Linked DNA regions of Medicago truncatula. The protein of the gene in region 1 interacts with the protein of each later gene in a biochemical or structural test. Links are inferred from orthologs where the notes say so. Each region holds a gene or a part of one and is shown on either strand. Other genes may lie near its edges.

Evidence for each region.
Region 2: the proteins of endoribonuclease Dicer homolog 1 (region 1) and double-stranded RNA-binding protein 1 form a complex in vitro, tested with the Arabidopsis thaliana proteins (4 studies listed by BioGRID, with this or other methods). The link is inferred for Medicago truncatula from reciprocal best matches to the Arabidopsis thaliana genes DCL1 and HYL1.

Annotation. Positions count from the first base shown.
Region 1 is NC_053048.1:55,964,660-55,968,417, forward strand, and holds the start of endoribonuclease Dicer homolog 1, read right to left. Parts: upstream 2,473-3,758; 5' UTR 2,264-2,472; coding exon 1,418-2,263; intron 1,330-1,417; coding exon 1,216-1,329; intron 781-1,215; coding exon 570-780; intron 414-569; coding exon 19-413; intron 1-18. UniProt on the Arabidopsis thaliana protein: Ribonuclease (RNase) III involved in RNA-mediated post-transcriptional gene silencing (PTGS). Functions in the microRNAs (miRNAs) biogenesis pathway by cleaving primary miRNAs (pri-miRNAs) and precursor miRNAs (pre-miRNAs).
Region 2 is NC_053044.1:49,452,273-49,456,030, reverse strand, and holds the start of double-stranded RNA-binding protein 1, read left to right. Parts: upstream 1-1,585; 5' UTR 1,586-1,772; coding exon 1,773-1,800; intron 1,801-2,795; coding exon 2,796-3,064; intron 3,065-3,689; coding exon 3,690-3,758. UniProt on the Arabidopsis thaliana protein: Double-stranded RNA-binding protein involved in RNA-mediated post-transcriptional gene silencing (PTGS).

The sequences.
Region 1 (3,758 bases):
CCATGAAATAGTATGTACCTTATATGCACACCACTGTCCCAATTCACCAAGTGCATAATTAACAGCTCTCAACTTCTGAATTAGGTTTGCAGCTCCATCACTTTCTGTTCTTTCAGAAACACCATATACTTGGCGCAGCTCTTCCTTAGCTCCAGCATCTCTAGCTCCCATAAACTGCCATTTGCTTCTTCTTGAACTAGATTTTGCAGCTTCCTCAACTTCAGTCTCCATCTGCTTTATTTGCTCATGTAAATAACATAGACTGGCCGCTTTATCATACTTCACCACAATCTCAGAGGGCATAGGCACGTGTTTCTCTAGCTCTTTACGATCTTTAATGGTACAAACTATTGAATCTAGCTTACTTTCAAGATTACGAATTTTTATTGCACAGTCTACTTGGCTGGAAACACCTGAATATACCATTAACACAAATAATGTTGATCACATATACTAAAAGAGTAAAAATTTGACGAATTAGGGATTCAATCCCCAAGCAAATCATGGTATGAAAAAAAATAGAGTGACAGTATAGGAACCCAACTTCAGTTGAGCAACTTCATAATTACCCTTTAAGTTAACAGGAGAAGCAGTCATTCCAAATACAGATGGCCTCTTTTCTTTGGGCGTTGTATGGTAGAACTCAGACATCACCAGCGAATATGGGTGTTTCTTCACAGCATGATGGCACTCATCAAGAATCAGGAGATTGATTGCTTCCATTTTTATGATGCTATGCCTCAAAATGTTCAAAAGTATTTGAGCGGTCATGACTAAAACCTACAGCAAGAATAACAAATTGAGAAATTGAAGTACAAAAAGTCGTAAACATGCAAGGTCGAGGATGAAGAACAGCAACAAGGTCAGGGAAATCAATAAAAAAAAAATCTTTAAACTGGTAGAGTCGTGTCTTTTATGTATGAATATGATTTTAGCATTTCACTTGTACAGCCTTTTAAGTGAAACAATAGGAACAAACTAAAAGATGCCGAAAAACAAGCCAATAAGCACACATCTCTAGTTTTTAGGATAAATTGTGTCTTGGAGACACCCAAGGGGCCAATCCCAAGTTGTGGCATAGGAGTATTCACAAAGCATATATCATATGCGTAACACATGAAAAATAACACAAAAGGCCATGCCAGATCAATCGTCCTGGAAAAACTTACAAGTTTAATAAAAAGAGTGATCTTAAATAGAAAATTGAAGACATACATGCTTGGTGTCAAATTCACGCTGCCACCTTCGAGCATCCCAGAAATCCTGCCCCATTTCTCCACAATAGTGCCCCACTTGATATCCAGTGCGCTCACGGATTACCTCAGCTTGCTGTAATGAGACAGGGAATTAGGAACAAGATGAATGGACAAGTAATTGCAATGCACTTATATTAGTGTCTCTAAGCAAAAGCATTTACCTGGTAAACAAGTGGAACTTTTGGAACCAAAAACACAGCAAGCATTTTCTTATTTTGGAGATGTAATGTCTCATGTATAGACTTGATGAGAAGAACGGCAATGAGGGTTTTGCCAGCTCCAGTTTCTAGAAAAGCTATTGTATTTCTGGTCTTTGCCTGCTCAAGAACATCCAACTGATACTGTCTGGCTTTTTCCTCAGGAACAGGAACAGTCTCCTTGGGTTTTTCCTGTTTGATGGGGTTGTCTATGTCCATTTTGTGTTGGGAAGTATGAAGATTGGGTTCCCAAGTTCCGGAGCGAAAGACCAAGTCATTAGAAGACTTATCCCTCTCCCAATAACCCTTGACATCTCTTTTAAAGGAATGATTATGATTATTATTATTCCTTGGTCTCTTCCTATTATTGTTGAAACACCTCTCATACCTGTCCTTGTTGTTGTTGTTGGGTTGATGATTGATTCTCCTTTCTCCTTCGGTGAGGCGAGCCCTTTTGTTGAACCTTTCTTGTTCTTGTTCTTCTTCTTCTACCTGTTGGTGTTGTTCTTCTAGTTGAAGATGAGTAGGAGGTAGTTGATTCCCATCATCAGCAGCAGAAGCAGGAGGATGATCAGGGAGACCAGCGCCGTTTTTGATGCTGTCAAAGATTCGATCAATACCACCAAAAAAGTCTTGGTTGTTGTTGTTGGGTTGTTGGTCAGAATCATTAGAAACATCAAAATCAATGATATCATCACAAGATATAGAAATATCTTCACAGGCATCCAGCCAGTAAGGATTTGACGAAGAAACCCTATTGTTGTTATTCACGGCAGCGGCGGCAGCAGCGGCATCGGCATCATCCTCCATAATAAATAAATAATAAGATTGATTGATTGAAGAGAAGAGAAAGAACAAACCCTATTGCTGTGTATCAACGCCTATTCTATTCTATTCAATTCAATTCATTCCGATTCACTCTCTCAGTGCTCTTGTTCGCTTCCACACACATTACTGTCCTTTGCCCTATATACATACATACATATATTTATATGTCTTATCATCCACTAACTCCAATTATCGCTCCTTGCATAGAGAAATGATGCAACACTCTTTTTAAACACTCTCTTCGTCATTTATTCTTTTTTTTATCCGATGAAATCAATATATGTTCCACCACTTAACGTGGGTTTCTTTTTTAAAGTGCAGGTTCTACATTGATCTCATCCAATAAAAGAATAAGCGGTAGAGAGAGTGTTGTTAGCATTCCTCCTCCTTATAAACGTTAGATTAGAGGGATAAATTAGGTTAGATACATTTTAATCATTATTATTATTTTTTTTTTTTACAAAAGAAGGTCAATGGTTCAAAAGAAAACTAGGAAATTAGTCAAACATTCTTAGGCATGGAAGCGCCGAAAATGTCATCAAAAAGATGTCTATAGAGCTTACTTGACTGATTTTCGATTATGATACAAATTAAAAGAATCAAAAGAAAATTTAAAATTAATCAACCAATTAGCGAATCGATTAAATATATTTTACTAATCCAACATTTCATTGAAAAGTTTTCATTCGCTAGACCAACTCCAAAATAAAATATTCATAATTGTAGCTATATAATGGAATAATCAATACTAACTTGTATTTTTAAGCTTAAGATGGTTGAATCAAACTTTAGTAAACTACAAGTCATCGTATTGGCTTATTTGAGACTATGATTCCAAATGAAACGACCAAAGCTGAGTTATAATGAATTTGATGAATGTTTTCCACTAACGTTGCTTGGAGATAAGTTACCGATCAACCATCTTTAAACAATTGATGTTCCCACATTTGGTTTGGTTATGCTACACGAGTAAATTACTCAAATACCCCTCGGCAGTTAACTGCCGAATTATGAAACCGGCTGCAGTTAACTGCCGAGGAAAACTTCGGCAGTAAACTACCGAGGAAAACTGAAAACTTCGGCAGTTAACTGCCGAGGAAACCTCAAACCTGTTTTTTTTTTTTTTTTTTGACAAAATCCATAAATTGTCATTAATAACAAACCTTTTTTTTTTTTTTTTGACAAAAACCATATATTGTCTTTAATAATATTTATTGATTTTGAATGTTTCAATCATTATTTTGGTACGTTTTAAATAATTGCAGTATTATACTTATGTGTATATATTTTAATAAGAATAACATTTAAATCAGTGTAAAAATTAAGCATTTGAATATTGTTTTGCACATTACTTAAATACAAATAACAATAAAAAAATCGTTAAAATAATTGTGCACAACGATTTTTTTTAAGGTATAATATGTTGTTATATTTTCTACATTAAAATAATTGTGTACAAAGATTTTTTTTTTAAGTA
Region 2 (3,758 bases), on another chromosome or scaffold:
TTTAATTAAAAAGTCAAATTTTTAAATATTTATTTATTTTTATATAAAGGATAATAAATATTGGCATAACATTTGTTCTTCTAGTTTTACTCTCCATTTAAAATTTCTTTTATAATTTTAGTTTTCCTTACCAATTAAAATTTTACAACTTATATAGTCTTTTATGGTGACGATGATCATAATGAATTTAAAAGACTAAACCATCAAGCTAAAATAACCGTCCATTTAATAATGAATGGAAATTTTATCAAATACCCCTACATTTATACCTTCACCCCTATATTTCATATGAACTACTGTTTTATTCTCATATATAAACTTAAAAACCTAATTTTTTTTCTTCGTTTAAAAAAAAATCATGTCAATCGAATTACAACTTATGTGTTTTCCTGTATTCTTTCTCCGTCGAAAATCATCAAGTGGTGACGGATTTGTTGCCAATTCAGATTTGTTGGCATTATGCGTTTTCTAGAAATGATTTCAAAAACCTATGCGTTTTCTGGAAACATTCCGAAAACAAGCAATAAATGTTTTCGATCTCATGGATTGTGGTAACATGAACAATATTCAATTCATTAAAAATTAAACAAACCATAAAATGTTTTCGATCTCATGGATTGTGGTTAACATGAGCAGTATTCAATTCATTAAAAAAAAAACCATAATTATATGAGATTGAATTCAATAAAATAATGGTCCTAATTGATTTGTATGAGACTCAATCCAATTCAATAAAAACAGGGCCAACATCTGTAAAAATAAACACAAGAGCGACACGTTTCCTTCTTCTTTGTCATTAAAAACCCATTAACTAAACACAAATCTCTTTGGACCAATCACTATCGATTTGTAACGCTCGTTGGTTACGGGTCCCATCATGCGTAACAGTCTACCAACGTCTACTCGTACCATCATTATTAGCTACATGTAATTTCACTATATAACATATAACAAGATCATGAACATCCTCCAAAGTACAATTTATCTAAGTCTTAACCCTCATTTTTGCTCAAATAACTAACTCGAACGTCATAGTGCTTGTCGGTACATCATCTCCTCCATTCTAAAACCCAAGCTAACACGAAACATATTGTACTAGACATTGTTCTCCTGATTAGGTGAGATCATGTCTCTTAGCATTTTAATTAATTATTAATAGGTTGCTCACATTAAATCTTGACCATAACATTTATTCTTTTAAAGGCATTTGATAAAAAGTCTAATGAAAATAATTTATCTTGATAATCGTGTATTTATTACGTTACAACTTTAAAAATTGATATCTACTTGATTAAACTCATCAATTATTTATACTTTTGTCTTCTTAACAAAGGTCTTGACACTTTCTTCAAGTTCACCATACAATCTTCACTTATTCTTGACACTAATCTCACACTTTAGTTATTCTTGACAATCTCACTAAATATTCTTAAAGTGTGTTTGGATGGAGAATATTTTAAGGTGAATTCCCTCGAAACATTACATTACCTCAAAATATTCCGCCATCCAAACACACTCTTAGTTTAGATTAGATTTAGATCGATATGATTTATAAAAATATATATTCGATGTTCACTCACGAAACTGTGTGAGAATGAAAAGAAAAACGCGTGTGAGACACTTTTCATAGAATCACAACGGCGCAGATTCCGACACTGTCCTCACCGTACACACAACTTTGTTCTCACTTTTTATTTATACCAAAAACTGCATACAAATAAATTATCACTCCCAACCACTCTTCAATTTCATCTTCTCAAACCTCTCTCACTATGTCCACCACTAACGAAGATTTTCAAGGTAGTAACTATTATTCTCTTCCTCTTTCTTTTTTTACTTTTTTCAGGGTTTGTTTTTGCAACCCAATTTTGAAAAAACAAACATATTTTTTATGCTTATTTTCACCACCAATGCTTCTATTTTATATTCTCATAATATTCTTGATCTTTGATTGTAAAAATTTGACCTTTGATTGTTTTGGATGGGTGAGTAGATGAGAAAGATTGTAACTTCAAGAGATAGATACAAAAAGTACTAATTTATTAATGAAAATTACATAACTTAACTTGTTGCAACGATTTAGGAACCCTAGGACAGAAACCCTTGATCCATCTTACAGAGTGAAATATAAAAGGAGTGGAGGGCTTTGGACGGAGGAAAAGATGAGGGATTCCCTCACTTTTTGTGGGAGGGGTTAGAATTTCTTTTTGGTCTTTAACCTTTTGGTCTGTAATTGTTTCAGTTATGATTCATACTCGGGTTTCGTGAACAATTATTTCTTAACTGGAGCTCATTAACTACTTAAGTTCAATCACTTGGTTTGAAGGGCTGGAATGAAATTAGTTATCAGTAATATTATTATTCTTATGAAAATATTATAAAGGTATGTAATTGATTTGAAAATTGACTTTAGTAAGGAGGGTTGATGATTAACGAAAGAGAGTCCAATAGTTACATATTTAGAGAGACCAACGAGAATTATGCTAAATCAGTAGGAGTAATTTATAAGTAAATAAATAGTTTATCCTTGGATAGGGTTTTGTGGCTTTATTGATTCATGTATCCGACCCAACTTTGTGAAAAAAGGCTCAATGGTTTTTGACATTGTTGCCTGAAATAGATGCATTCTAGGACCAAGATGTAAGATTTGAGAAGCAACAAGTGGCCGATTTAGGTTTTCTCTACGATTGTTTAACAACAAAAATTAAACTTTCATAGGGCAGGCAGCAATTTGATTCCTTCATTCAACACCTGACTTAATTGTTACTCAACTCATATTTGCTTTCTTTTTTAAGTGGTAGGTGTTTCAAATTGTTATGTGTTCAAGAGCCAATTGCAAGAGTATGCACAGAAAGCAGGACTTGGCACACCTGTGTATGAAACTACCAAGGAAGGGCCTTCCCATGAACCTTCTTTCAGGTCAACAGTGATTATGAATGATGTTCGTTATGATTCTTTGGCTGGATTTTTTAACCGTAAAGCAGCAGAGCAGTCAGCTGCAGAGGTTGCTTTGATGGAGTTGGCCAAAACTGGTGAAGTTAACCAGTCTATTACTCAACCTGTTGTAAGTAGTCTTTACAAATTATAATTTTTCTGTTGGTAGTAATTGAAAGTTCCGAGTGTAGCGACCGTTGCAGATTATTTTTCACATTTCTTCAGCTCATTGGGACATTTGAAGTTTTTATGTTGTGGGACAAATTCCTGTCTTTTCTACTTTCAACTTTCAAGAGTGGTTATCTTCTCGCCATCTTTATGTTGATTAGCTAATGGTTGCTTCTCTAGTGTTCTTAGTATGCAACAGTTTGGTGTACATTGTTTTGTTGATGTGATCGGTATTTCTTTCTTTTTTCTTTTTATTAAGACTTGAGAGTGTGCCGTATCTTCTTTCTGCCTTCTTACCTGTCAGCTCGTCACCAATATTATTCTTCTGAAAATAAAGATACTCTTAAATTTTCATTTGATAAATATTTCTGTTACTTGTTTATATATATATTGTCAGAAAGAAGAAAAAAAAACTTGATAGTTTATAATGAGATGAAATATAACTGTTGCATATTATATTTGAGGTTCCCTATTGGATTTTCTCTAGATATAAATGCCTTACTAAGTTCTGTATTCATATATATTACAGCTTTGCGAGTTATTGTATATTTTCTGGTTCTGATTATTTTAATGGTGTTTTCTTCCAGCATGAAACTGGATTGTGCAAGAATTTACTTCAGGAATATGCACAGAAGATGAATTATGCAATGCCATTG